4 linked regions of the Struthio camelus genome follow. The protein of the gene in region 1 purifies or fractionates together with the protein of each later gene. This does not show direct contact. Links are inferred from orthologs where the notes say so. Each region holds a gene or a part of one and is shown on either strand. Other genes may lie near its edges. The genes, in order: PSMB2, PSMD5, POMP and PSME4.

The links.
Region 2: the proteins of PSMB2 (region 1) and PSMD5 fractionate together in Homo sapiens (co-fractionation; 3 studies listed by BioGRID). This does not show direct contact. The link is inferred for Struthio camelus from reciprocal best matches to the Homo sapiens genes PSMB2 and PSMD5.
Region 3: the proteins of PSMB2 (region 1) and POMP purify together in Homo sapiens (affinity purification with mass spectrometry; 5 studies listed by BioGRID and IntAct, counting the BioPlex papers as one, with this or other methods). This does not show direct contact. The link is inferred for Struthio camelus from reciprocal best matches to the Homo sapiens genes PSMB2 and POMP.
Region 4: the proteins of PSMB2 (region 1) and PSME4 purify together in Homo sapiens (affinity purification with mass spectrometry; 3 studies listed by BioGRID and IntAct, counting the BioPlex papers as one, with this or other methods). This does not show direct contact. The link is inferred for Struthio camelus from reciprocal best matches to the Homo sapiens genes PSMB2 and PSME4.

The regions. Positions count from the first base shown.
Region 1 is NC_090964.1:9,943,564-9,951,087, reverse strand, and holds the start of PSMB2 (proteasome subunit beta type-2), read left to right. Parts: upstream 1-4,505; 5' UTR 4,506-4,653; coding exon 4,654-4,744; intron 4,745-6,447; coding exon 6,448-6,570; intron 6,571-7,069; coding exon 7,070-7,140; intron 7,141-7,524. UniProt on the Homo sapiens protein: Non-catalytic component of the 20S core proteasome complex involved in the proteolytic degradation of most intracellular proteins. This complex plays numerous essential roles within the cell by associating with different regulatory particles.
Region 2 is NC_090961.1:3,081,961-3,088,781, forward strand, and holds the start of PSMD5 (26S proteasome non-ATPase regulatory subunit 5), read left to right. Parts: upstream 1-3,805; 5' UTR 3,806-3,931; coding exon 3,932-4,107; intron 4,108-4,271; coding exon 4,272-4,416; intron 4,417-5,506; coding exon 5,507-5,620; intron 5,621-6,153; coding exon 6,154-6,282; intron 6,283-6,821. Other genes in the region: protein CutA, read right to left, coding at 2,042-2,569. UniProt on the Homo sapiens protein: Acts as a chaperone during the assembly of the 26S proteasome, specifically of the base subcomplex of the PA700/19S regulatory complex (RC).
Region 3 is NC_090942.1:200,249,152-200,256,637, reverse strand, and holds the start of POMP (proteasome maturation protein), read left to right. Parts: upstream 1-4,470; 5' UTR 4,471-4,601; coding exon 4,602-4,604; intron 4,605-6,068; coding exon 6,069-6,166; intron 6,167-7,051; coding exon 7,052-7,112; intron 7,113-7,486. UniProt on the Homo sapiens protein: Molecular chaperone essential for the assembly of standard proteasomes and immunoproteasomes. Degraded after completion of proteasome maturation. Mediates the association of 20S preproteasome with the endoplasmic reticulum.
Region 4 is NC_090944.1:119,473,676-119,481,269, forward strand, and holds the start of PSME4 (proteasome activator complex subunit 4), read left to right. Parts: upstream 1-4,594; 5' UTR 4,595-4,651; coding exon 4,652-4,830; intron 4,831-7,594. UniProt on the Homo sapiens protein: Associated component of the proteasome that specifically recognizes acetylated histones and promotes ATP- and ubiquitin-independent degradation of core histones during spermatogenesis and DNA damage response.

The sequences.
Region 1 (7,524 bases):
TTTCCTGCACCTGAAGCAGCAGGAACACGGGGCTCCTTTTCTTCTCTGGAAAGCACTGAACTCCCAGCAGGAAACCTTGTCTAGGCATTACAGTAATTGTAACACTGTCTTTACTAATACCATATTGAGACAGATCACAGCAAAGGGCAAAAGCCAGAGCAAACAGCAGTCAGACTGAAAAATACCCCTCACACCGCAGCTACGTATCATATCACAGCCCCTGCCTGCGGGGCTGCCCTGTGACGGGGACAGCGCAGGGAGCTGAACCTGGGCGTCTCAGGCCCAGTGCACGGTCCAGCCTTGCTTCAGCACAAGGCAGCAGCAGTGTGCCCATGAGGGCACAGCATTGCTTTTCTGGAAGAGGAACGGGAACTTGGGAGCGCTGCAGTGGAGACAGAGGTAGAACCTGTGCAGTTTCCCCCTTCCTCTGGCACATTTAGCAGGCATCACCTACTGGACCCATGACTGTGTCCCCTATAACAAATGTTCTGCTGTTGTATCAGGCAGAAGAAGAAGGGATGCCAGTAGTCAGGCAAATAGCTAAGGGCCTAGAAGTTCAGAAAGCAGCATGCTTGCTCCTGGCTGAGTAACGGTAAACGTATCACAGCTTCTCTGCGCTGCAGATCGTCTCTCTCTGGCACAGCTGTAACTGTACTGCGCGAGAATTCGCACAGCCCCTGTGCCCCTAGGTGTATGCAGACCTGGGATAGACCCTGCGGGGAGCCTTAGTACAGTGTTTTGCTGTTTTACAAATGTCAAAAGCGTGGTAAGTTTGCTAAGCATTAAATTATAACCATACACCATGTGAGCAATCGCATACAGGGTGGCCAGGCAGCTGATGTCTGGCTGGCACAGCAGAATGTGCAGGCCGATCAGGTAAAAGTTAGCTTGTTGCGTAAAGGTAAGAATAACAACTGCAATATCTTGCAGACAATGTGTGAAGGGGTAAAAAAATAACGGGGAAGAAAAAGAGCTGCTGAAAGATTTGCAAAGCCAGATTATGTCTTCACGGACACTGTCGTTTTCCAACTGTTGATGTAACGACTTGTCTGCATTTCCTACTCAGCACTAGGATCTCTGCTGGAGCAATCAGCACCTAGTAAAAAGACTGTGATGTTTTCCTCTGTAAATATCATCTTAAATTAGAACGCACCAGTCAGCCCATGTCACTGGAGGAGATGAGCAATTACTGCCCAGGCCAGACCCACAGCTGGTGTCAGCCGGAACAGCTCCAGTGTCTGTAACATGGCTTGGCAGATTTGTATCAAGCACAGACCTGATTCTCTGGGCTGTACTGAGGACTGTTTTTACTAACTTACATTGTCTCATAGGATTTCCCATATGACTACAACTATATGATTTGTCTGCCTTTGTTTGGAAAACAACATGACAGCTATTCATCCTTGCCAGCTTTTCTATTTACTTTTCAGCCTTCCCCTTTTTCCCTGTCTTAACCAGTCTGTCCTTGCTGAGTTTTCTTCATTGTATATATCATTACACCAATTTGCTGTCCAGGGAGTTACAGCAAGTTAGATAATAAATTAAAGCTGCTTCCTATTATGTGGGTGATCTTTTTTCTTTTTCCTTTTTTTTTTTTTTAATTTTGCAGTTCCTTACAGGATCAGCCTTCCTTCTTAAGAAGGAATCAGTCTTCCAACTGAAAAATACTTTAGTTGCTAGAGACCATGATGGGAGGATCGGAGGGCCAGTTCGCCTCTCTGTCACAGTCTCTTGCTCTCTGTGCTCCGGTCCTGCTTTGTAACGCTGGGATGGTTCAGCTCCGTAACTTATCTGGACCTAGTGGGAAAAGATACTTTGAGGACCACGGAGCCTGTGGATATCTCAGTATCCTGGACATAGGATCTCAGCATATCGGAAAATGGATATTGTATATCAGATACCTCAGCACACTTAAGAGTTTTATGGAGGCCACTTATTAGTGCTGTGCTATTTGCAGCAGTTGTGCATGGAATATCCCTTACCAAGGTCATATGGCCACATACACGTGCATAACTACAGTATTTGTCTTGAAAATAAAATAGGCAAAGACACATTTGATTTTAAGGCATGCTGCAGCCTGTGCAATTTCCCTTTAATGGCAGAAAACATTCCCAGTTTCTGCTAGGCACAGATGTCTTGCTGTCCTTATTATACCAACGTAGTAATGTTAGAAATGCCTTCACCCTAGGAAGAGAAGTAGGTGTGTATTGTATGTATGTGTGCTTCCTAAGCAAGGAAATTCAATCTGTCGAGAAAATTCAATAACAACCTTAACATTTAATTGTACCCTAGGGCCCAATAAAAATCAACAAGGATGGTAGTTGTTGATTTTTCGTTAACCTTCTCTTAAAAAGGTCTCAAAATACGACTGCTTGGACTGGCTGGCTGTATGCACATGTGTAATATGTACAAGGGATCTAAAGGGAGAAACGTTTTTAAAACTTCAGATTGGATCCACGCAGCAAAATACACTTAAGAACTGGCACAGAGCTGGGCCATTGTTAGGTATAAGAAAGCATCCTGTTTTGATTTATGCACGCAGCACTCAATTTAACAAGTGTAGCTAAAGGCAATTGGAAAACAGTCAAAATGGTGAATTTGCTGCTTACACTCATTTATACTGTTTCCTAAAGACAATTTGCTGTTGCTTTTTGGCATGTTTAGTATTTTTTAAACCACACAAAGGTTATGCCCAGTTCTCGTAATTACACAGTGACTTTCTTGGTATAGGTGCAATTGGGCATTTGCCATGTGTTGCAGCCTCCAAAGTTTTATTTCCTGGGGCTGCATCCTTTATGGTGACTGCGATGGGGTTTGTCATGCTTCAGCGGGCCCTTTCATTATCATGGTGCTGCGTCTTTGTGGAGCTGCACTTAGTGAACATATTAGACGGGGCTCAGGCAGGGACAGAGTCTAATCAATAAACTAAGTGCCCGTTGGAGTTACTCTGCTCGTCAGGATAGTGCCTGCAGTTAGACAACGTCCAGTCAACCAGGGCATTCGCTTTGTTTTTCTTGTAATTAATTATCTATGTTGTGGTCACACCTGGAGGCCTCTGGGTGCTGCAGAGCCACCTAAGAGAAGATATTTCTCCTGAGAAATTTAAGTAGATCGAGAGCAGGGAAAAAAGAATAAGGGAATAGCAGAGAACAGCATTTGCTTTTCAGCAGCTGTCTGAACTGCCCAGCCAGGCCATGGAATTGAGTAACATCGTCCAAGGTCTCTATCCGAGCTCATGGATGACTTCTGAAGCCATCATCCGATACGAAAACCATCAGACGCTTCTGAAGCTCAGAGTTCAGGAGCTTCCCCTTGGTGGCTGGCATGGACACGTCCGTCAGAAAAAAATCCTTTATTGACTCAACGAGTCAAACTTTACAACCAGCCCCTTTGACTACAGGGAATCCTGGCTCAGGATGATGTTCAGGGCGGCAGGAGGGACCCTGGACCGCACGATAACCCGCTGTAGCCGGCCGGCTCTAGCCGCGGAGCGCAGCAGGAGCTGCAGGGAGCCTCGTGCAGGGGCTCGGGGCTTGGCTCCGCGCACAGCTGGCATGGCTGGCTATTTCTGACACAGAAAGATGGGCAGCAGATAAATCACTCCACTGTTCCTGGAAGGATTTCACTGCCTCTCTTCACAGCTCAGTTCCCTTTGACTACATAGATCAGAGGCTGCAGCACTGCCAATCATTTATCTCTGAAAGAATTTGTGCCTAAGGAACAGTTGCCTTCCAAGCAGGGTTTATAATTTTTCTTCTTTCTCTCGGATCTCCAAAGAACTTCAATAGAAAGCAGATCTAGCCATCTGTTCTGGCAGGGACAGCCAGATCGGTTTGGTGTTATTTCAAAGCGCGTGGGGCAGAAATGGGATGTGCAGTTATCCCCACCTCGTTTTCAGCAGATCTCCTTTAAGATTGGTCCTTGGAATCGTGTTCTTTAATAACAAACAAAGTATATTTTGGCCAGAAATAGTGCCAAGGACCCAGACTGGCAAGACTGTGGTCCCATACCAAGACATCCACCCGACAGGGGGATGGGTTTGCCTGAAACCTCCATCATCCCCGCAGAGGGCCGGGCCGGCTGTGCGGGAGTGCCCCAAGCCCTCGCGCCCTCCCCAGAGCTGCGCTCCCGAGGCAGGGGGACCCCCGGGCCCGGCTGGCCGCCGGCTGGGCTCGCCGGAGCCACCGGGCCTCGCAGAGAGCCGTGAGGAGCCGGAGGGCGGCCGGCTGCCCTCCAGGCGCTGCTGACGGCCAGGCCAGCCCAGCCCCGCACCCTTCCCACCGCCGCTGCCCCCGGCGAGGCTCGTCAGGGCGAGGCAGGTGATTAGCGAAGAGAGTTATAAAAAGGGGGGAACCGCCCCCGGGTGGGTCCTGAGCCACCTCACGGCGACGTGACAGCGGCCGCCCCACTTCCCGCCCGCCTCAGACACAGAGCGCGCTGCCCCGGACCACGTGACCCCCCTCCCCCCCCCCACACACCGCGCGGGGCGCGGCTCTCGCGAGGGCCGGCGACGGCGGCGTCATCGCCGCGCGCCCCGCGCATGCGCGCGAGCGGGGGCGGCGTGACGAGGAGGAGGCGGCGGCGGCGGCCAGCGGCGCTTCGCTGTGTCACGGCGAGGCCCGGCCCGGCGGGGACGGCGGAGCGCGGCCGGCCATGGAGTACCTCATCGGCATCCAGGGCCCCGACTACGTCCTGGTGGCCGCCGACACGGTGGCGGCCTCCAGCATCCTCCAGATGAAGCACGGTGAGGGGCGAGGCGGGGGCCCGGTGAAAAGGGAGTACTGAAAGAAAAAGCCTCAGGGAAATGAACCCGTTCGTGTAGCAGTAGGTACCGCAGCACCAGATCTACCAAGCCAATTGTAACGTCTTTTAGTTTCTTTACCTGAGGGAATAAACTAGGGGTTTCTCGTGCCTTCGAATTTCTCCAAAATGTGTTTTTTTCCACCCGCTGTTGCAATAACGTGGACTAGAAGCCTTGTTTACAGGGTATAGCGGCCTTTTTAATTTAAATACAATGTTTTTAGGAGCTCTTATTTTAAAAAAAAAAAGTGCACTGCAATATCGGTAAACTTTCAGCGTTAAAGCTAGCAGTGCTGCTACCTGAAGTATGTCAGCACATACAAAACGCATAGGTGACCTCTTTAAGCAATATGTTTTGTAAATTTACATCCTTGATGCCAAATGGCCTGTTGATTATCTTTCAGGAAATATCTTTCAGGATTTATTTGGTTTTGTTTGAGAAAGAAAAACCCCAACTTTAGTTATTTGTGTAGAATATTGGCATTTACTAATATTTACCTCAAACTCTCAGTCGGTTGAAAAGACTGATCAGACTCAAAAGCAGACACTGAACTCTCAAGGCGTGCAACTTCTCTACAGTTTTTAGGTGCTTTAACTCTTTAAATTCTATTAAAGGTCTGTGGTGTTCCGAACCTCTTGCAACTGAGATTATTCAGCAGTATTTAGTAAGTTGAAAGTGAGGTTCAGATGCTGGGATTTAGTTTGTTCTCTGGACCTAGCTTCAGGATTGGGAAGTGGTCTTCCTTTTGCACGAAGAGCTGTTTGAATTCATATTTGTCTCACCTGAGCAGTAGCTTGCTTTAACTAGACAAGATCTGAGTCTTAGAGAGATCACAGAATTGTCATCTAGCATTGTTGTTATGGCAACTTGAATTCCTGCAAATTTGAAACTGTAATTACAAGTGAAAATTTCTACTTTACTGTTCATTATTTCCAGAATATTTCAGTGGACTGTTTTGTAATTTGTAATCAATATTCAGATGTTTGCTTTTCTTTGCTTAAAAAAGGAGAATAGTTAAATATTGGCAACCAATGACAAGCCAGAACATTTTAAAGCCACATTCATCCATATTGCTTATATTTAAAGCAGTCCTGGATAGCAGGAGGAGGGAATCATTTTGACATGGAATTTGGTTCTGTATTTGTCATGATTTTTTTGGCTTAATGTATTGATAACTTCTAGCTTTATACTAGATGAAATTTGTTTATAATGCAGTATATTCAGATAAAATAGAATAGTTACCAAGCAAAGTCCTTATTTGTGAACCAGGAGCACATCATGTAACGTGTTAAATTTTATCTGAACAAAACACTCTGAAATTTTAGTCATTGTTTCATTCTAAGTAAGATCATATGTTCCTCGAACACCTCCCTTTGAGAGAAGCACTTAATGTATTTCATCTTTGTTTCTCTTGGTGATGTGTTTAACACGAGTCTTGCATACTACACTAACAATTAATTGTGAGAAACTGAATGTTCAAGTTTACTCAGGAAGACTTTTTGGGTGGCATTCCAGGATATAACGGTGTTATCAGAGTCTCTTAACTTGACACATAACAATTTCTTTCAGAAGCGTTTTGATTCTGGTGAAATAATTTATTCTTTTCATGACCTTGGCTTTTGATGCTATTTTTTTTCTTTGCCTAGACCATGACAAAATGTTTAAAATGAGTGAAAAGATCTTACTCCTGTGTGTTGGGGAAGCTGGAGACACTGTACAGTTTGCAGAATACATCCAGAAGAATGTTCAACTCTACAAAATGAGAAATGGTGAGTGAAGGGTGAGAAGTGTTACTGAGTGAGGGTTTGAAAATGCAGAGTTAGTGTAGTTTGCAGTTGCAAGTTGGAATAGGTTTGAATATATAGCATAAACCAGCATGTTTATCCAAAGCCCATCTAACCTTGTTGTAATATGAATGAGTGATATGGTAATAGATACGTTAGTAAAATATTTCTCTTAATACGTCCGTTGCATGACAACGGTTATCGGATTTTCTCATACACTTAAATCAAAAATTCAGGCTACAGGCATAGTACTTTACCTTTCTGAAGCTGTCCATTTTAACAATCCATAGAGACATGAGCGATCTGAACTTTGCCCTTTTTATGCAGTTATTATAATTAGTTTCCAGAATAAACTGGAATTAGGCAAATTACATGACGTCACATGTCATTCAATAATATCGTGTTATTTCAAAACAGGCGAATCAGAAAGTGAAACATGGATATGGATTTGTACTGTTATCAAATATATGCATTTCTTCACCAGGTTATGAATTATCTCCTACTGCAGCTGCAAATTTTACACGCAGAAACCTAGCTGATTACCTTCGGAGTAGAGTGAGTAATATCGGAAAGATTTTGGCAATTTGAAGTATGTAACTGTCCAATTTTTTCTCACTTCTTAGCAAGTTAGTAGTATTACTTTGTGTAAATAAGAGCAGCTAGCTTAAAGCTCTCTACAGTTACATTTGTAAAAAATAAAAAAATAAACTCCAGAAAATATTACTTGTCAAAATATTTTTATCTTAATAAGCTTGCTTATTTTATTTGACCTAGAATGCTAAGGTCTGACTAGTTTCTTCAGGTGACTGCTTTGGCACTCTAAGTGTTCATCTATATTTTTATCTATTCCAAACAAAACAGATGGAAGCAATGCAAAGGGAGAACAGAGCAAAGGAAAAGGAGAATTGCAGCCTAGGATATTAGCTTAAAGAAGATTTA
Region 2 (6,821 bases), on another chromosome or scaffold:
AAATGCCTGATACCCAGTTTGTTGCAAAAGGAACGGCTGCCATTCTGTCTCCAAATCTGACAAGTGCAGCCCAAACCTATTTACAGCAGGAAGTCCCACAAAGTCTTCAGGTCTTTAGCCCTGAACAGCCCAGTAGCCTCCTCTGTAAATTTGTGTGTCTATCAGCTTGTGGGCCAAATCCGTCCTCGAGGCGAGCGCACCTGACTGCATGGCTGCTTGGAGGATGATGGTGGCTGTGCCTGGCTTGACTGAGAGTAACGAAAGCCGGGGGACCCTGGTTCTGAGGTGGTTTTGCTCATCCTAAAATACCATGTCCTGAAGGCTGCCATGCTAGAGTACATACTCCGTGTCTTCAGAGAGGGTGGGGAGCAGCACTGTAAGGCAAAGGGAGGCTCAAAGTTTTGTTGCCCATTCGGATGTTCATGGGGAACACTCAAGAGACAAACTGGAGGCACAGGCAGGCATTGCTAGCTCACTAAGTTTAGCTTAGCAGCCACCTGCTGCCAGGACTAGGGAATCTCTTCCCCAGACTACGTGGCCCTTCATAGGCATTTGCTTTTCCTCTACGTGATGTCCTGTTGTGCTACGTTTTGGGAAGCCAGATCAGACCCATACTTAGCCTGTTTCCCTAAATCCTGTGATTAGATCAAAAACTACATCTCTATTGGAAAAATAGAAAAAAGGGCCCTGGTTTGTTTTAATGCAATCCTGCTAGCCCAGGATGATTATTCTGTTCTGCTGACAGATGTTTCACAGTCCATCCAGGCTATGGTACAAACAGTGCATAGCAGGTAAGGAAGGATAAGACTGAAATGCAGGCTTTGGTCTTGTTTCCTCTTAATTGCTTGGTACTAATAGTGAAGTCAAGTTTGATCCTTTTGGGCACAGAAATCCTAATCGACACAGCCCAAGTCTGTACGGCTGTCCTCGTCTCACTGGCCTGCAGAGAACAACAGTGCTCTCTCTCTCTCGACTGGCAGTACACTGGCAACGAGTCGGTTTTGCTGTACAGCAGATCCCGGTTCCTGGCAAGTCCCTTAGCTTCCCATTGTATTCACGTGCCATAAACAGTCACTATAAATATTTATTCGATAAAGCAGCTCAGCTTGGACTTTGCTAGGATAGCAAAGTTTAATTTGGTGTGCTGAGTAACAGCAAACGAATGGGTGACTGCACCCTCTGCGTGCAACGCTCACTGTCTCTGCACAGTTGCTCTTCTCTTTGTCTTTTGTTTTTTAAATAAATAGCATCTGTCCCTTACTCATCTGCAGTGATAACAATATTTTTATAAGACTCAGAATATATTCCTTTTTCCCTTTTTTCCACCCTCATTTGTCCTCTAAAAGACGTCCCATTACAGGGTAAATGTCATAGTTTTTTTAAAAATTATTGATATCTCTCTTCTCACCACAAACACAGGAACTCTTTTCTGTTTAGAAAACGACTGATGTTTTATATTGGTTGTCTCCTTTTTTTCAGCCCATTTGAGGAAATGCTCTTTGTTATCATAAGGCTTCTCATAATAATTTTCAGAGCTTCTTTAGTGTTCTTTTGTCCCACTAAGCGATTTAACAAGTATTATGCAACAAATCACAGAAGTTACCCAGACAGTTATAAGCCAAAAAGGGATAGGCTGGTGTACCTATTTTTCCAGATTAAAATGTAATTATGTTCCCTGCTCAGGGGAAAAAAAAAAATCCATCCTGTGCAGCATGGCAATCATTAATCTTCTTGGAAGATGTTTGTGCATATGATGAGGAAAATCCCCATGAACATTTGTGAGTGAATACTAATACAACAGTGACCCATCTCTTGCACTTTTTTTTTGAAAAGAAAGAGAAAAAAGAAAGAAAAGTATGCTGTTTTTTTCAGCATAATTGTATTTGCCAAGCGGTGGTGCAGAAGTGAAGGAGTGAAACTTGGGCACCCGCGCCTAATAATTTGAATAAATTCAGAACTGCCAAAATGTTAAAGTGACCGAAACTGAAAAATCCACAGCGAGATTGTAACTATTGCACTGAAAAGCAGGCTGAGATCCCACCTCTCCTGCAAGACCCCTCTTTTTCTGCAGAGCTGCCCTTGCAAAGGGGTGAGTGGCGGCGTTCCTGCGGCCGCCCAGGTCGCGCGCGTCTGGCTCCCCGGTGGATCTCCCGCGTCGCCTCGCGCGCAGACAAACGCCGTCGCTGTTCCCAGCCGCAGGTCCCCGTGTCCCGCGATGTGGCTCCCACTTACCAGCAGCAGGGCCAGGCGGCCCGGCCGGGAGCAGGTCTGGCTGCTGGGCGGCTGGCAGCGCTGGCTCAGCCACTCCATCCTCATCGCGCCGGGCGAGAGCCGCCGTCCTGCGCCGTCCCGCCACCTGCGCTGCTGGGAGCGCGGCCGGGGCTGGCTGGGAAGGCTGGCCGCAGCCAGCACAGACTCCTCCTCCTCTTCCTCCCCGGCTGGCACAGGGCTCGCCAGTCGGCTGGATGTCCGCCGGCATCACGGCCGCCTCCAGCCCTGTCCCCTCCCTGCAGAGCGGGGCCAAGCAGGTGCCGGGGCCTGGCAGAGCCAAACGCGGGGTCTGGCCCATAGCAAGTCCAAACACACACTCCTAATAGCGCTGGTGCTGTTCCCCAAACTACCTGCCCCAAAATCTGCTGGAGAAATAAATCTGTTCCTCCCAGGGGGTGCTCCGAGACACCTGGCGATCGCCATTCAGCATCGGTGCCTTAATTTTCCCATCGGTAAAATCGCTTTTTTCCCCTCAGACCTCATATTATTGCAGCTTTGTAATCTTTGTGTAGCAACTGCTAGCAAGCCGATAAACTCGGTTATGCTGTTTGGCCCTAAAACGTTTAACAATATTCCTTTAAGCGATCTGGTGCAGAGGAACAAAGAGGGCCGTTCTTTCTCAAAATATAACTTCGTTACGTTCCTGCCAGTTCTCGTAAGCTATTAGGAGGATGTATTCACCACGGCATTTCTGGTGCCTGGATTTAGATCAAAACGTCTGACAGTCGTACTCCTGCTTTGCGTCCCCGCGGACAGCCGCCACCAGGCAGCGGAAGGCGGCCAGAGCCGCGCCGTTTCGGTGACGTCGGGGAGACATTAAACACCGCAGAGCGCTCAGAGTGCCTTGCGGCACGGACAGAGGCCGGTATGTGCCAAATTCAACCATCTTCCTCCCTGTCTGTGGACTGAACTATTTTTCTTCTGCTGCTATAAACCAAACCCGGTGCTTCTCAGCCGGTGCGGCCTGCCCACGCCGGGACGGAGCTGTCGCGGTGACGCTGCACTTCCAAGGCAGCGACTCCGGAGCGGTGTCCAGGGTCGAGGCGACCGGAGGGGCGGCGAGACATCTGCTCGCTGGGGGGGGGGGGGGGTCAAGCGGGGAACCGCGCTGGGGGGCTGCGGGAACCGTTTGGCTCCGCTGAATTTTTCCAGACCCTTGGGAGCTTTGCTGACGAGAGGAAGGTGGCTGTGCCCGTGCCTCCCGCGATAACCGCCTGAGGTGTTAAAAAACTCCCCGCCTGGGACATGGCCGCCTCCTCCCGGGCCTCAGCACCGCCTCCCCCCCAGCTCCTCCAAAAAGCGAAACGGAGCTGCGGAGCGCGCAGGCCCTCGGCGCAGGAAGGCCCAGCCCCGCTGGAAGCGCTCCCCTGCTCCTCGGGGCCTGACCTCGGGGCTGCCGGCGCATTTCAACCCCCCACCCCGACAGCAACGCTCCTTCCCCCGACGGAAAAAACCGTTGAGGGGCGGCTCCCCCTCGCGCCCCGCCCCTTTCTGCCCCGCCCCTCCGTGCGGCCCTTCCAATCAGAGCGGGGCCAAGGAGGGAGGGGCGGGGCTCGGCCGCCATTTTGTCGGCGGAGGCGGCGGACGCGAAAGGAACCCCCTGGTTACGGCGCGGCGGTTGCGCGGGGGAGGTGGTGGCGGCGGCGGCGGCAGTGCCAAGATGGCGGAGGCGGCTGTGGCGGAGCTGCTGGAGCGGGCGTGCCGGCCCGAGGCGCCCCTGGAGGAGCTGCGGGCCCTGCGGCTGGCCGCGCAGGCCGTGCCGCCGGCCGCCCTCCGCCCCTGCCTGCGCGACGCCCATTTGGGCGCGCTCTTCGGCCTCCTCAGCGCCGGTGACCGGTGAGCGCGGGCCTGGCCTAGGCCGGCCCCGGCGCCTCCCCTCTGCCTTCCCCATGGCGCTCTTCCTCTCCCCTGTCGCTTTTCCTGCCCTTCTGGGAGCGGGGCCGGCACGGCTGAGGGCCTCGGCCGTGTCTCCCTCCTCAGGGTGTCCGTGTCCCTCTCAGGGAGCAGGTGTCTGCGTGTGTCGCCATCCTGGAGCGGCTGCTACAGGCCCTGGACCCCCTCCACCTCATCCGGAACCTCCGAGAGGAGCTTCAGAAAGGCCTTTTCCATCCTGACGACTCCGTGAAAATCCTCACCATATCTCAGGTATGGTTTCCTGTCCCTGGCCTTCCAGCTCGGCCAGGGCTCCCTCTTGGGTCAGGCTGGGATAGTTCAGTCTCTTACTGGTACTTTTTTACTATGAACTATGAAAAAAGCACTGTATTAAGTGTTTGTATGGGCTCCTGCAATTTTGGGCACCTACTGTGCAATATGTAGGTATATAGTACTTAATGGTGTGACTGGTAAATATAGTATGTAAAACTGTGTCTTGACACAGGTAACGTGTAAATTGATCTTCTGTGTGTCATGGACTCTAGTTCTTTGTAAAATGCTCTTAGCCAGCACTGGCAGCAGGTGCTGCAGGAATTAAATACAACAACAGTTTTGCTGTTCGGGATGCTTTGAACAATATTGTGAAAATACTGAAAAGGAGTAGACTGTTTCTAGTAACTTGGTATTTGTTGCCTTAGTTTAAAGGAACAGAACTGAGGAATAATGTAGTTTGGAAGGGAGCTCTGGGGGTGTTGGATCCAACCCCCAGCTCAAAGCAGAGCCAGCTTACAGCAGACTGCTCAGGGCGTTATCCCGTTTTGAACATCAAAGAATGGAAATTCTGCCTTTCTGGGTAGCTGTTCCAGTGCTCGGCTGTTCTCACGGTGAAAAAAATTTGATCTTAATAGTAGAATTTACTGTGTTGCAATTCGTTGCTGTCTCTGTGCACCTTCAAATATGAGTCTGATTGTGTCATCTTTAGACTCTCCCATTATGTAGCTGAAGACAACACCATGATTTCCTCTTAGCCTTCTCTTATTAACCCAGACCTTTTAGCCTCTCCTAGTGCACTCTGTGCCCCCTAATCATTTTGGTAGCCCTTCACCAGGCTCGCTCCAGTTTGTCAATGCTTCCTCGACTCTTCTGTGCAATTGCAACTGGAGTACAAAGTGTGCCCAGTTCTGGAATCCCCAGTACAAGAAAAAGTTGAGAAATTAGAACATGGCTCGTGATGCGGTGACTGGCATATAGACCTCAGATCTTATATTTAAAGCTTTTATTTTAAAGACTGTTTCTCTAATTAACAGAATGTTCGTATAAAGGAATGCAACTAAACTAATAGTGTATTTAATCATGTTCTTAGGTTGGGAGGATTGTTGAAAATCCAGATGCTATTAGAGAAATTATCAACAGTCCTGAATTATTACGGCAAATAATCTATTGCATTGGTGGAGAGAAAATAGCTGTGGCTAAAGAGGTAAGCTTTGTTTTTTGTTTGTGTGTTTTCTCTCTCTCTCTCTCTCTCTCTCTCTCTCCCTCCCCCACCCCCTCCCCTTAATAAATTAACTGATGTAGAAAAGGTATTCTCTGTGGTGGGTACTGTCTGAATAGTCTGTCACCTGAGATGGCATCTCTCTTCCTCTTTGAAGAAAAGAGAGCTTCTGTAGGTTGAAAGAATGATATCAGTTATGCGGTTTAAAAAAATTAACAAGTAGGTGACCTATGTCAAAAGTTGATTAAATGGGGTAGAAAATCTTACCCAGAACTGCTATCTTCCAGTAGCCATTGACCCCGAAGTAAACTCGTAGATGTGAACTTAATGCTTATCACAGTAACTAAAACTAGCTTTCAGCAGAGATATGAGTAATTGTCACTGGAAAAACATATGGACGTTAGAATTTTAGCTGAATAACTATGATTTGGTATGTTAATGGAGCCTGGTTTAAACAGATCCTGGTTTGAGTTTTCTTCCGTGTGTGTCTTACGATGAGCTACTGTTCTTGTTCACAGGCCATCAAATCTCTCTCAAGAATTGCACAGACACAAGATGGCTTAGAGGCTTTATTTGTGAGCAGTTTGTTGAGTGACTTGAAAAATGTCATGGCAACAAATGACATTGTACGGTATAGAGTGTATGAGGTAAGAATGAGATAAATGTTAGCATTTGAGTTGCAGGGGACTGCAGTTCTAAGTTTAAAACGAATTTTAAGAAACTGTAAATATGCAGATTTTTAGCTGCTATACAAACTCTTCATTTATTCTTTTTTAATCTTGTCAAAAAAGTAGAAGAAGGTTAGAGCAATGTTGATTCTTAGATAACATCTTAATTTTTCTTTCTCCCTTATGGTACAAAGACGTAAAGAACTCAAGTGTTATTTACATCTTATTTTCTAATATGTTGTGCTTAGGGTGTTGGAAAGGCTACGCAGAGTTACTGCTAACGATATAATAGAATGCTTGCTTTTCTGAAAATAAAAACAAAACAGTTTCTGCAGTCTCCTCACCTTGAGATGTGAAGCCCTACTGAAAGTTCAGAAGGGGGAAGAAACGGAAGGAGATGCCAAATGTGTCACTCTAGATATGTAAGGCAAAGGAAAAATAATGCAATTTAGGCGTACTAGAGCTTAATAGGAATAGCAATGATTCTTCTGAAGAAAAGAAGAAAGTGTGAAAAGAGA
Region 3 (7,486 bases), on another chromosome or scaffold:
GCAAGCTCTTGGGGGATTTTTTCCCTGCACAGTAGCAGGAATGGGAAGTAATGTTCCATTCAAGTCTTTCAGCTGTGACTACTATTAATTGCTTTCAAGGTTTCCCTTAGGAAGATACTCTCACAGGAAATGTGCTTAGTCTCACCTATATGTGCAGGATGGTTATGCTTCTGGGAGGCCAGTCACTCTCTCCAAACTCAGAGAAAAGACAAAAATATCCTTCTCTGAATTCTCATTCTCGGCATTGCCTGTGAGCAGTGAGGTCCTGACTACACGAACATTAGCTAGGTAAAACATGCGACTTGGGCTGAAGAAGTAATTTAAGATGAATATTGCTACACGGGTGTAATACAGCATATTGAAAGTAGATGATTCAGACTATTAATAGAGAAATACTCCCACCAGCATTCTCCTGGTTACTGCATGTGCAGCTTTAGCTTTGCATATACCTTTTTCTTTTTTTATCCTTTGACCCTATTTTTGCCGATCCTCCGAGTGAAGAGTAAAACTACTCTAACTGTGCCACAAGCATCTAATGCCCAGCTAGACTGACCAGAGGCGGCTGGCAAGTGGCGAGGAGGCAGGGGCGGCGCAGCGAGCTTGGCTACCGAGCAGCCCCTAGTGACCGGCTCTCCCCGTTGCAGCCTCCTGCCTTCCCGGCTCCGCAGAAGGAGCACGGAAAACAGAAGCCCAGATTTCTTAGAGTCTGTGCAGGGGACTGCTACAAACAAAGAGGAAAGATTACGGATGCCAGTCACAGACTTACAAAAGCACTGACAAGCTATGAAATAAGTTATCGCTTCAAGACGACAAGGGCCTCTTTCCAAGTACCTTACCTGACTTAGAAAAAAAATTGGCAGTCCTTGTTTCATCTTCCGAAACAGCAACTGAAGACATTTTAGAAAAGACATTACTGTCTCATTTAAAATTCACTAATAATTCATAAATCAAATGATGGAACAAGGGAACGTTGGTATTACTTACCCACGGGTAGCTACAAGCACATTAGTTTTACCTTTCATAGAGAGGTGATAATGGACCTTTTTTGCCATATATTGGACTGTTTGCTGGATTTGAAGGATGAGGATGAGCACGTTTTGACCCAAAAAATCCAGCAAGCTGTGGATTTGCTAATAAACAAACAGGAAAAAATCATCTGCTTTGGCAATAAGTGAGATTCTTTTTTTTTTTTTCCTCTGCAACAGTAACTTTTTTTCTAAATACTTTCACCAGTTTCAGGAAAGGGTGGGTTAGAGTCAGGGGTTTCCTGAGGCTTTTCAGAACATGGTTTTAACGTAGCCATGTGTTTAGAAGAGCCCCTAGAGAGTCTTGTTTTGGAACACTCTGACGCCTACACATTATTATCTTTGCTACGTTTTGCAGTTTTGTGTGAAATTTATTTTTAATCTTTAACAAAACATGCTCTTGTTTATCTTAAATTCAGAAAAGGTTTAATAATTTAAAACAAAATAACTTTTAAAATAATTAGATTTACAATGAATACTGAAACATAAAAGTATAAAGCAAGTTAACAAGAAAGGGCTTCTTAAAGATCAAAGAAAATGTGTTTATTTGATTTGATTAAAACAAATAAAAAGTACTTTCACTTTAACAGGTTATAACTGGCTGTTGACAGAAACCAGTGAAAGAGTTTCCCAGCCCCACAGGATAAAGGTTTGCTTCTGGTAGAGGTTCACGTACTCAGAACAGACTGCCCACTGATATGGCAAAGGAATTATATTTTGAAAAGCGACAAAGCTACATCAGTATTCGTAAATGTTGACACAAAGACAAGTTTCCTTGGACAATATACTCCTTTTGCTATTATTAAATAGGACCCATGGTGTTAAAAAATGGGTATTTCTCTCTCTTCCATCTATTGATTTTAATATATAAAAAAGTTCCAAGAATGGGAGAGGTAAAAGTACCGTTTAATTCAGTGGAGAAGCTGGACATACTAGCTCAAAATTACGGAGCAGTAGAGTCCCTAGAGTAGAGCTGGCTTCCCTAGATCCTGGGCAGAGCAGGCCTGGATGTGCCGGCCTCTGCCCAGCCAGCCGGGCCTCTGTCAGCATGAGCTTCCAGTCCACCTGGAAAGTCGCTGCCACAGACTTCAGCGGCAAAAGTACAGACCCCTCATGACATGATGCCGTGCTGGCACCCAGGCAAGAAAAAGCTAAGCAATCGAGGCTGGAATGCATGTTAAGTCAGGCTGGCTAAACCCTTGTTTAACGAGGTTTTATGTTTGTTAATGCCAATTGAATTGCCGAAAGGGTATTTGAAACAAGTGTGTATTTTTAAAGAGTCAACACTTTCCTCATTTCTAAAACATACAAGAGTTCATGGTCTATATATCTCTTGAAATCTCAGTGAAGTCCCTCAGCTAAACCAAAGAGACCAGATTTGACATTCCAAAAATGCTGAGGTAAGAAACATGCAGAAAGAAATTTAAAACATGCATACATTTTGGGCCTTCTTTATGTAAAATGTTGAAAGGAAAACCTTTTATTCCTAAAAAACCCAATAATTTTAAGGTTGTCTTTAAAAGCAACATGTGAAATTCACCGCCAAAACTTTACTAGGGTAATAATTTTAGAGCAGTAGCAGTAATTTTCACACTAATTTTAGGGTGTGCATACGGTCTAAAAGAAAACCTCTTCAGCAGCCACAATCATTGCATCCCACTTTCCGTCTTGTTACCAGCAGCCTGGAAGATGTTCTCAGAGAGACTGCCCGGGTCCGCAGGGCAGCAGGCCAGCTCAGGAAAGGGTAGCCATACCCATTGCTTCTCAGTAACTGCAGCGCTCATGGCTCACCACAGGTTCTCATTTCTGATAAAAAGTTTGATCAGCCTGACAACTGCTCCTATCATTCCTATTAACGTGCAGTGGAGACACAGATACGGTCATAGGAACGAGAGATATTACAGTCATCCAGTACTAAGATATTCACTGTAAGATCGTTAAAACAGGCTGTGCAAGAAATCCAACTTTGCTCATATTTAAAACAGTTGGTAATTTGATGAGAAAACATATCTGTGATTTGTGTTTATGTCTGGGAGTTTTCCCTAGCGTGAAAGTCTGTCTTTAAAGGAAAACCAGATCTTTCTCGCAATGTGCATTCTTTTATGTTAGTTATGCAGCCTAAACTATGGATTGCAGTGATGTCAATAATGGTACATGGAGTGATTGTATCCTGTCTGTGTCCTGCAAGAATGACTTTGAAAGTTAGATGTTTCATCTCCGCAGTCATATCCTGATCAACAAACTCAGTCAATAAATAAATACATTTAGTGACAAACCTAGCTTTTCTGTAAGCTGCAGTTAAAACAGGAAGTTGATTTGTTTTTTGTATTCACATCTATTCTATAATAATGAACCCAGCACCACAATATCCGAGTACCCATTATAATTACAAGATCAGAGAAGCCTTTGTGGTACCCATTTTCCTAAAAATAATTTTAAAACCCAGTCTTACATTTTTATTCTTTTGAAGTCTTTGCTTTAAACCGAAGACCTTCACGTAAAGGGCCGTAGCTTCAGTTCGGAAAGATTTTTGAACTGGTGACCTGATTCTGCTGAAGAAAGAGGATAACAATAAAAGGGTATGAATTTCTCTGTAATTAAATATTATCCAAAGCTGAGTGTGCTATCAATACATATATATATATATATATATATATAAAACTCCCATGTTAATATCACTTTTTCTACAGTACGTAGTGTTCATTTTAACTGCCATGTATGAAATTCGTAGCAGCAGGGCAATCTGGGGCAAAATGTGAAACGTGCTGAGCAAACCACAAGTCTCAGAAGACATATGTGAGAGATATGCTCGATGCACATCTGGAGCAGCGCAGCAAAATCTGTGGCAAATTTTCTAACGATGGTTGGAAAGTCTTCCAAAATTATTTAAGTACGCAGTTCCTGCGTTGTTACTGTTGCTGCTGTGAACCTTTCCAAAGATAAACTTGCCGTGGGCCGGTCCTTGCCGGTCACCGGCAGAGGACCAAGTCCCTGGCAAAACAGGGCGCCACAAGAGCCGTCTGCGCAGAGGGAGATCTCTCAGGGGCCGGCACACAGCCTAAGGCCGCGTTCAGCTCGGGGAGCGCGGCTCCTTCCCTCCCTCTCTCGAGCCACCAGCGCGGTGACGCTGTGGGGGTCACTCAGGCGCCTCCCCTGGCTGGCACCACCTGCCCGCCATCTGCTGAGGGGCGACAAGCTTGGCCACAGAAAAGCGCAAGGCGACAGCCCCCCATCAACCAGCGCCGCCACACAGCTAGGGCGGGCAGCCAGGCGCCAGCGGAGGGGACTTCGGGTGGCATCAAAAATGCTGTTTTTTGACGGCCAGCGTCAAACGGGCGCGGGAAGCCCCGCAGACCCCGGGCAAGGCCCTGCCAGGCGCCGGCCCCTCGCGCTTCCCGCCGCCAACCGCCACCGCGGGGCAGCCGCCGCCCCGCCCCTCCCCGCCAGGCCCCGCCTCTCCCCGAGCCAGCGCTGGCTGGGGCGGCCGCCGCTCCTTGCGCGTGACGCAACGCGCCGGGGGAGGGGCGGAAGTGAGGAGGCGGGGGAGGCGGAAGCGGAAGCGGGTGTCGGGCCAAGATGGTGAGTGAGGGGTCGGTTGTGCTGCTCGCGCCGGGGTGGCGGGGGGAGGCGCGCGCCTGCTCCCTCCCCTCCTCCCCGCGCCCCCGCCGCGGCCGTTGGGTCCCAACGGTCGGCGGGGCGGCGGCCGCCGCGCGCCGCCTTGGGGCGGGGGGCGCCGCGCTGTGCTGAGTCACTGGGGGCCGGCGCGGCCATGGCGGGCACGCGTCCTGCCAGGCGGCGGCCCGCCCAGGGCGGTGTCCCCGGCTGGGAAGGCGCCCGGGACCGCTTGGTTGTGGTTTAAAGCCCCTCTTCTGGGAGCTGGGGAGGGAGAGGGAGGCCAAGGCCGCCGGTGGTGCCGGCACTGCGGGAGCCCGGGGCTGGAGGGGCGAGCGGCAGGCGGGGTGGCGGAGTTCGCGCCTCCAGCCTTCGTGGTGTTTACCGGGGGTGGGGCCGCCTGAGCCGGACTGGTCGCTGGCGTGATTTGAGGGGTTCGCTTTTTGGAAGTACTTCCCGGGTTTCTGCTTTCTTTTTACTTTCTTTCACTTCGATCCTCCTAAACCTTTGCCCCTCTTGTTATACCTTTTAGGTAATAGTCTTTTTTACGTGTTTTTGTTTGCAGCAATCTCAGATCAGATCACTATTGAGTACATTAATTCGTAGATGCTTTAGACACAGTAGAAGACATTTTAGGATTTTCTGATAGCCTTTAGGTTACTGACAGTCACAATGGTAGTATATTGTTTCAAGAGACTTAACTGTGAGCATGTGTTTTCTCTTGGACCCAACAAAACTGATGGAAGAAACACCTGTGCTGAGCAGTTCCTTGCTGTCACCATCCGGAGATTGTTACTAATTGATCTGTTGATGGATTAGTTTGTGTCAACAGTCCTAAAAATCCTTCAATGTCATCAGCTGTTGTAGCTTTAAATCGCTGATGCGGGTTAAGATGGTTTTACTTACTAAGTCCATGGAGATGTGTCTTATCTGGTCGTCTGCTGCAAGTTGCCATTTCTTCTTTGCTCTTCCAGTTAACTGATGTAATAGAATGGATGAATACATCTTATTCTCTTTAGGACAACCTTAAATGGTAGATAAAACCAGTTTGGTTGCAATTGATTGTTTCTGTACTAGCATGATTGAAGGAATACTGAGACGTGTCCCATCAGCTGGGCAGTGACCTGACTTCTCCCCACCCATCGCTGCAGCACAGGGTTGGGAATGAACAAGGGTAATTATGGTTTTTAACTGCTTTAGCCAGCTCCCAGAAATGTTTAAGTATCATCAGACTCTGAAAGCATTCTAACCTAGTGATTTTTTCCCCATCACTCCACCCAAAGCAACTCTGAAGGCTAAGACTTGTGCCTGAGTAGTTTGAGGAGTTTTTGAACTATTTAGTAAAAAGTTGGTAGAATCTTCGTAATTTTCATTTGTTTAGGGGCAAATGGGGCCTGGTTCTGTAAAAGTAATCGTCACTCTTTGTTCCAGAATTCCAGAGGAGCTACTTCTCTGTTGAAGGATAGTATCCCGATTACTGAATTTTCACCTGCTGGACCATTTGGAGGTCATGATCTTCTGCGTAGAGGGTGTGCTTTATTGTTTCTTCTCAAATTGTGCAGTAGTTGATGTGAAGCTTAAAATATATGAAAAAACATATTAAATATTTGTGGTTTTGAAGAAGTTCTTTGTAGATGTATCTCTTAACCTGTGGCTAAAGCACCTGTTTTCAGTCAGATTGTCATTCAAGCTTTAATTTTCTGTGAAACATCACTTCCAGAAGTAGATAATGTTAATGGACTTAGACCCATTTGATGCTCCTTTTTAGAGAATAATGACAAAGTCTTAATCATTATGAAATATGTGCTAGTTTATATATATATGTATGTGTGAATGTGCCATAGAACTGCACAAAATGATTGATTTTGAGATTGGTACAGAAAGTAAATTTTATAAAAATAGTATTTCTTATTAACAATTCATGTGAGTGGCAAAACCATGTACATGTATTGGGTATTGAATCTGCAACAACTTCATGGAGTTTAAAATGCAGGTGAAACAGCTATGGGGAGAAAGTATGTGCAGTATTTAGTCTGAAGAAATTTAGAAAAAATTGAGACTCTTCTACATTAACTGCACACCTACTTAGTTTATTGATATGTTTCTCTATTTCTGAAGCGGGTCAAGGAGAAAAAATTATCATTCCTTTATATCAAATATAAAACTGAAGGAAAAGAAGATGCCTGAGAATCTTATACAAGGTTTTGGTTTTTTTTTCCTTCTGACAATGCTATAATTAAGAATTCATTTCTGCTTCTTCGCCACTAAGCATCATTTTTGAATAGCTGAAATTATGCTAATCTCATGTCTCTGTGGATTGATGTTTATATCTGGAATTAGTATTGCACTGCAACTTAAAGAATGGTGTTCTGATTAATTTTCTGTTAATTACATTGTTTTGTCTACATTTTTAGCTTTACAAGCGTGAAAAATGAATTGTTGCCCAGCCATCCACTGGAGTTGTCAGAAAAAAATGCAAGTATAACATCAAATGTAGTCATCCTCACTCTTAACTAATTAGGAAGTTTAATTTAACAGTATGGTTACCTGCACTGCTTTGTGCAGCAGCCAGGAATGAGTAAGGTCCTGTTTTTAATTAAATAAAAATGTTCGACAGCAATAACATTTTATTTATGCCAGTAATATTCTTGCCAAATTTGTTTAACATGTAACTTCCCACTTGTGTGTCTCTCCACTTCAAGTATCTAAGCGGACTTCCAAGTTGGGCTTTATTTCAATAACTTTCATTTCAGAAAACTTTTTAAATTAAAAGTTGGTAAGTTAGTTCTGTACGCAGCCTCTATTGTTAGTGGGGAGAGAGAGGGACACCTGCCACCTACAGAAGGCTG
Region 4 (7,594 bases), on another chromosome or scaffold:
ATTCAGTTTCCCTGAGGCAGGGGAGCATACCCTTCCAGAGCAGGCAGTAATTACAGACTCAGGTCTCCATCCTGAAAGGGAGCAGCTCCTTGCAATTAAAATGCCCTTGTTAGGGTAAAGATTTGCAGGCAGTACTTACAGATGCTTATTCTTGGAGAAAGTAAGTTACTACCACCTTGCCTGAAAGTTGGTGAGCAGCATGGCAGCAGCTTCTTCAGGGTCTTTGGAGTCTTTCACCACCTGCTTTGGATGACAGACCGACTGAGACACACTGGGATAAGAGTAAGTCTGAGGACGCTTCTGTTTCAAAGAAGAAAGCAAATTATGCTACTGTATTTTGTAGTGGGGTTCTCTGAGGTATGGGGGTCACGGACCAGGACATATCCTGTTGGATTGGGTGTTATTTTCCAAATTGCAAAATACACAGAAGCCTGTCACTCACCAAATTCCACTCTTAACTTAGGTCAGAAAGGACAGATGGGTCACTAAACAAAACGTCCACGTGGGAAAAGAAGTTGCTTGAAAGATGAGATAGTAGAAACCACAGTTCAGGCTGAGTGACAAGTTTCCTAAATACTGATGACAGTGCTGGTGTTAGCTGACCTACGGCAGCAAGCCATCCAACAAGGGAACGTGTGAACAATGTGCAACTTGACATAAGCCCCTGTTAACGTCTGAAATTTCTCATGAATGGAAAGACTGTATTTTTTTCACAACTTCAACACTTAACTTGGATTCATCAAATCTCAAGATTTAATGCCAAAAACAGCAGGTGGCAACCATATTTAGTTTGCTCTCAATTCATATTCCTCCTACTTAGTAAGAGAGGAAAAAGCTATTGATGCAAGCAGCACAGACGGATTCCTTGTTGTGAAAGCTAGTTCTTTATCATCTGACTCGGGAACCAAATGTGCTTTTACTCACTGCTACAGCCAAAACACATTGCAAACTTGAAGAACAAATTTATTTTTAACTCACTTGGTAAAACATATCTGTAAAACGCATTGTTTTTCTCCTTTTAAACAGTAGAATGTTAGCATACTAGGGGAAAGAAATGGTTCATTTTTTTTAAATTGACAAATGTTATTAGTAAATTAATCAATATACAGAAAATAGTTGGAAAGTACAAGTACTATATATATGCTTTTATGTATGTAATTACAAACGGACTCAGAATCATCTCTTTCCTCATTGCAGATTCTGAAAACAAGAATCATATTTCTCAGAATGAGAGGGTCAGATTATTTAGCATGATGACTTTAATGTGATGATCTTGTTGACTTCGCACAATCTTTCCTGAAAGGTAGGTGTTTAATTCCAGTGGAAGGCACTTGCGTGTCTGAGGTAAAACAGTCACAGATGTGGAGGTCTGCTGGTTCAGATGAAATGAGCTCCCTGAGGTTGGGAATGTTTATTCAAATTGAAAAACACCTAGAAAAGTGTGAAAAATTAAACTCAGGCCCAAAGGGCAGAAACTGTGGTTTACATATTCAGATATTCCCTGAATATCTACAGTTCTAGTTTTTTGTGATAATGTAGAGATGAAGCAACAGAATGCAGCTTTGAAGTTCCTTACATATCTGCCGATTTCAATTTCAAAAAATTGGACTATAACTGATTTTTTTTTTTCCTTCCAAGTCTAAATAAACTCTGTCATTCTTCAAATGTAATGAACATTTTTCCACACTGGAAATTGCTGTTTGGACAATCCACTATCACAACTGAGTAGGAAAAAAGATTTGCCTGTAAATGTTAGAAAAGAAGTAATTTCAGATTTCTTAGGTTCAAGACACATTTAGAATATTCCATAGACATTTTCACTTACCCTTAACCATGGATTTTTTTTTTTAATTTCAGCTTCTGAGCCACTTAATCAATTGACTCTTATCTAAATTTATGATAAAACCATTTATTTCATGGTGTTCAGATACACCTTTTGTTTATTCCTCTTTTTACCAGCAAAATAATAAACAAGACGTAGTTGTCCACATAGAAATTTGACCATCAAGTTTCATTTTTTTTAACTCCTGAACACAAATTCATGTATAGATTGTTCTGCATAGCGTAAATATGAGGCAAAAGAATCTAATTTTAAAGCCACTATGAAAGATGTCAACAAATACCCTCCAAATCACAATTAAAATTATAGTAAAAATAGACATAGGTGACACAAAATCTTTTAGGAATTGAAAGATATTTGAGAAGTATTAAACACACAACAAAATTGTCATATTTTCCCTATTAAAGGTATAGGTCTAGGAAAATGAGAAAAGGTAGAATTAACTTTGTTTCTTCAGTATCTGTTCAGAAAGGCTGGACCCCTTCTAATACGTTAGTCAAGCGAAATTAGCAAAGTATCTGTTTATCCTAGTCTCAGCCCATAATGCAGAATAATGACTTTCACTAAAGCTTTGAAAAAAGGAGTAATTCGGTGTGCTAAAAGTGGTTATAAACTTTTGCTTTCCCAAAACGTTACGGGAAAAATTCATGATAGGAAAGCTATGGAGTAGCATAGAACCACCTTTAGGCCCCTGGTAAAACCATATTTATATAATGCTGATTTACTAGTACTTTTCTCCAAAAGAACATTATAGCACTGATTATTACTTGACCCCTGTAAAGCAAAGTAGTGTCACTCTTCAGACACATGAATATAACACGAGATCATCTCCTGCTGCACAGTTTTAGTATTGCTCTGCACTGATAACAAAAATAATATCTGAGACAGAAGTCGTATAAGGATATGGAGTAAATATTTTCTTCACGAAAATGCCATGGGAATATTTGAGCATCACAGCCTTTGCTTATCTTACTTTGGTTTTCTGTGGCTTTCCTTCTCATTATAAAATGCTTCAGCATTTAGTTAGCCATTTAAAAAAAAAAAAATTAAGCAGAGCTAATCTGAGTATAAAGATCAGAAAACAGGATTTGCCCTTGTCAGCAGCTTTAAATCTAATCAGCTTGCAGCTGTTGTATAGTCATGATGTAGTTCTTGAGGGGAAATTCAATTAACAATTATATTTAGGAGACAGCTGGAGATAACAACCATCAGTACTGTTATCATATATCCATCACAGGCTTTATCCTACACCCATAGAAGTCAACGGCAGGACCAGGCACCGCTGAGCTCCGCTTTACTGACTGGCCTTATTATTTCAAATAAATATCTTTAACAGACAGTTACAGAATCTGCTACTAAACTCTGTAACTGATTATCGCCAGTGAAGAAGTCCATCCTCATTCCACGTTTATACACCCTCTTTTAGCACATAATGAACAAGAAGGCAGGGCAGCAGAAACACAACTTTCTGCTATTATGCAAGTCTAAGCATCAAATCTCTATGATCACCTGCACTGTGCTCTGATGGCTTCGGACCTCTAGAAGTCTCCCTGCTTCTCGATCAGACTGCAGGTATTGACACTCTCAGCAGTTTATATGCAGATTCTTAAAGGCTGTCAAATACCAGTCTCCAAGGTACTCAGACATCTAACTGTGAAAATCTCAGCCCCTGTGAGGAAAAGGTTTATGTAGTTTATACAGTTTGTATCAGTAATGGAGCATGCATTTAGCTCACAACTGCTAATGTAATGGATCTGGATACCCAATTTTAACCAAAAATAAATACGTTTGGGAACAACTAGCATCCAACTGTCCTAAACTGCAGAAGTTAGAAGAGAACTGAAAGATGAATGTTTTTATTATGATCTCTATGTTGGGATCAGAGCAGCTTTACAAAAGGGCTCTTTAATAAACCACAAAGCCACAAAAAGTGAATTCTAAACTTGGGTAGGAGTTATGGCCTTTCCACAAAGTCATTTTATTTCGGTGCCTAGGGCAGTATCTTGACTACAGCCACCCCTTTTGCCCCAGTTCTCTTGAGTCTGCCACAGGTTATTTGGATATCCCATTTGTCCCTAGTTGACAGAATTAGGAGATACAGCTACCGCTCGGCACAACTGTCAGAGGCAGAGGGAAAGTGCTGACTGTGGATAGTAAGGAAAAGCATACCCCAAACAGGCTAACTTACCGAATTGCTGTGCCACTGTTACTGACACAGGAAAAGAGCAGCGAACAAGCCCAGGTAGGCTCCCAGAATAAAACGTGACAGCACCTCTTGAAAACTGATGCTGCTTAAAGCAACTAAAGGGCAGTACAAATGAAACGGTACAAAGCACGAGCTTTGTTCTCGTTAATTCTAGGTTTGTCCCCAGGCAACGCCTGTGGTGTCGCCGAAACCGAAACGTAACAACAGGTCGCCAGATGATCCAGCGAACGACCCTCCCCCGCCGCCGCCGCCGCCGCCCGGTTCCCCTCAACTCCGGCGCAGGCGGCTTCAGCGCAGCCGGTAACGCGGGACGCGGTCTCCTGGCGGGCACGGCCGTTAACGGCCGCCCTGCGCGCGCGCTCCGCCCACCCGGGCCCGCTGCAGGGCAGGTGTCCGGCCAGCAGCGGCGCTTCCCCGCCGTGCTCGGGGACCCCCCCCGCCCCAACTCCGGCGCCGGAAGTGACCTCGGCGGCGCGGGGCGGCGGCCGTTCCTTCGGCTGTGTCGTCACCGCGCACCGCTGGGCGACTCGCCGGGGGGGGCCGAGCCGGGGCCGGGCCGGGCCGGGCCGGGGCAGGGCGCAGCGCAGCGCAGCGCAGCGCCGGCCATGGCGGCGGCGGCGGCTCCGCAGAAGGAGATCGTGTACAACAAGCTGCTGCCGTACGGGGACTGCCTGGAGGCCGAGGCGACGCGCTTCCTCGCTCAGATCAAAGGCAACCTGGCCCGGGCCGTGCAGCTGCAGGAGCTGTGGCCCGGCGGGCTCTTCTGGACCCGGAAGCTCTCCACGTGAGTGCGGGGCTCAGCGGCCCCCGCCGGCCGTGAGGGGCGGCGCCGGCCGGTCCGCTGCCGCCAGGGGTCGGCAGCGGCGGGGGTGGGAGCGCGGCGAGCCGGGCGGCTGGGCCGGCCCCTGGCGGGGAGCTGCGCGGCCAAGGCCGGCGGCCGTTGTCTCGGGCCGCTGATAACGGCGCTGCCCGCGGGGGCCCGGTCGGGGGTGGCGCAGGTTCAGGCCGCGGGTTGAAGCGCCGCGGAGCGGGGCCCGAGGGCGCTGCCGGGCGCCGTGAGGCGAAGCCGGGGTGACTCACGGCTGCCCGGCGGGCCAGGCGCACGCCTGAGGGCCGGGCGGGCCGGCGCTCGGCAGAAGCGCGTTGGTTTCCTAACGGTTACTCGCCAGCGAGAGCGGGGCGGTTGCCCTCGGCCGCTGCCGGGGCGCCGAGGGCCGCGGGGGGGGGGCTGCGGTACGTGCGCTGAGCGGTGCGCGGCCTCCGGGCCGGAGCGAGGCGGGCTCAGCCGGCCTCTTGCACAAGGCCACGCAGTGCTCCGAAACGGGAAACCGGGACAAAGGTGGTTTCGTTTCCCAGAGCTCCTCTGTCGTCTTAGAAGCTTTCCGAGTTGTATGAATCGAGCTGTTTTCTTTTTAAATGCGCGCTTGACCACCTGTTTCTTTTCTTGCCGTTTCAAGCAAGTTACGGAAGATACTATCTCTGTTCACAACTTTTGCGGTAGGAACATGAAGTCTTTCTGAAAACAGGCTGCTTGTGCTTTTGTTAGTTCGGCGCTGGAAGGATTAAATTCTGGTTTTGCTGCTGGGTTAACAAAATTAGTGCCCTAGTTTAAAATAATAATTAAAAAAAATGCCTCTATGTCTTGCCTGTACTGTGGCAAGGTGCAGTTTATGTTGGCTCTAATGTGAGTGCTGACAAGATGATTTTTATATAGATTGAAAACACAGTGTTTTCATACCAAGCAGAGTGTGGAATTCTCTTAGTAAATTTTACAAGACTTACTTACCCTTTTTTTTTTTCTTCACATGTGCTATTCTGGCCAGTCTGGCACTTAAAAAATGGTGTCAAATGACTGCTGTAGTTTCAATCGGCACACCTTATTCCTCTGAATATTCTCTTCTTGATGAACGTTCTGTGTCCCTTCATACTTGGTGTTTTCTATGAGCTAGAAATGGCAGAATGCGTGCATTTGGTAGAATTTATATTCATTTGCAGTTTTACTTCTTCTATAAGGTAGGGTTCTTTTTTTTTTTTTAAGTATTGGGAATTTAATAAATATCTGGCTGTCAAAAATCTGGTTGGTACACATGTATTGAAATGTAAGTGACCTTATGTTTGCCAAGAGGCATTCTTAGATAGAATTACATTGATAGTTGCGAAATGACTCACATGTTTACATTCAGAGACGATCTGAACCTGCTTGGACCCAGTTCAGTACTCTTCCCCCCCCCCCCCCCCCTTCCGTAGCCATCTGCTAGCTCATGCCGTTTACAGTGATGCCTGTTGTCTTTGGACTTGTGGCAGAACTTCATATGCTAATCAAGCTGAAATAAACTGTAGCAGTGCTTAGTAAGAGAAAGATGTACCTTAGATAGGGTAGTAACTCCTGCGGTTACCTGCTTTGAAGATGTGCGGGTATAGGTTAGAATTAACCTGCTAGTCATTCTGTAAACTGTAATTACTGTTATCAGTTTAGGCTTCAGGGCAGTGAATTTAACCTGTTGAGAACAGCTGCTATGCTAACTTTATGAATCACAAAAAGGGCAGAGGCTCTAATTTCTGGTTTTCCACCTACTCTTTGAAGTTTAAATTTACTGTGTGTGTTTTATAACTTGTCTGATGCCTGTTTTTCCCAAGACTTCTTTGTGGCATATTACATGCAGTAAGACTGAATACGTTTGGATGTAGGCAGGGAAGAAAACTGTGGGGTTGGTTTAAAATAAGCTAGTATAGTTAACATTAGAGATATTTTGCTTGCTCAGTTTAATTTGGCAAAACGGTTTGGTGGGATAAAATATTTCAGTAAAAGTTTAGCTCTAGATGAAATACTTCCAAAACGTACAAATATGGTGTTCTGATTTGTCATGCCTAAGTCAAATTATAACATAATGACAGTAAAACCAGAGCTTTATTATCTGTTCGTAGTAAGTAGTTCATCTCATTGTCAACTTTATACCTTTTTTCATGCTAGCCAGCTATAATAAATTGTGCATTTGTTTAACCTGAAAATGATCAGAATTGTCATAAGATCTCTGCCTAGTTTATTACATGTCTATATTTTAAAAGTCAGTATTCTTATAATATTCTGTGAAGTAATTTATAAATTGGAATTATGGCTGGTGTGTCTTGAATCTTTCTTGTTCAGATAAAAATGCTAATATAGACAGACAATGTAACATATGCAAACATATGAATTAAAAAAAAAAAAAAAAGCATGCATGGGTTATATACCTGTATAGCTCTACCTCTTCAGGTACACTGCAACTTTATACAGCTGTGCATAGACTCTGGAGGTATGAGGAATGAAAGTGAAAACTCAAAATGGGAATTTTTTATACGAGTTACTGTTTCATGATGACAGCTGAACCAAAAATCTTGTTATTTCTTGTAGTGCAACAGCTGAGAACATGACTTACATGTAGTTTTCTTAAATGCAGCTGCTTCAGCTGTCTGATGTCGTGAATTGAGTAGGGAAAGACGTCTAAAACTGGGATTTGTTAGATATAATGTCTGTCAGTTAATTTGCATAATTGTTCTTGTATGCATAA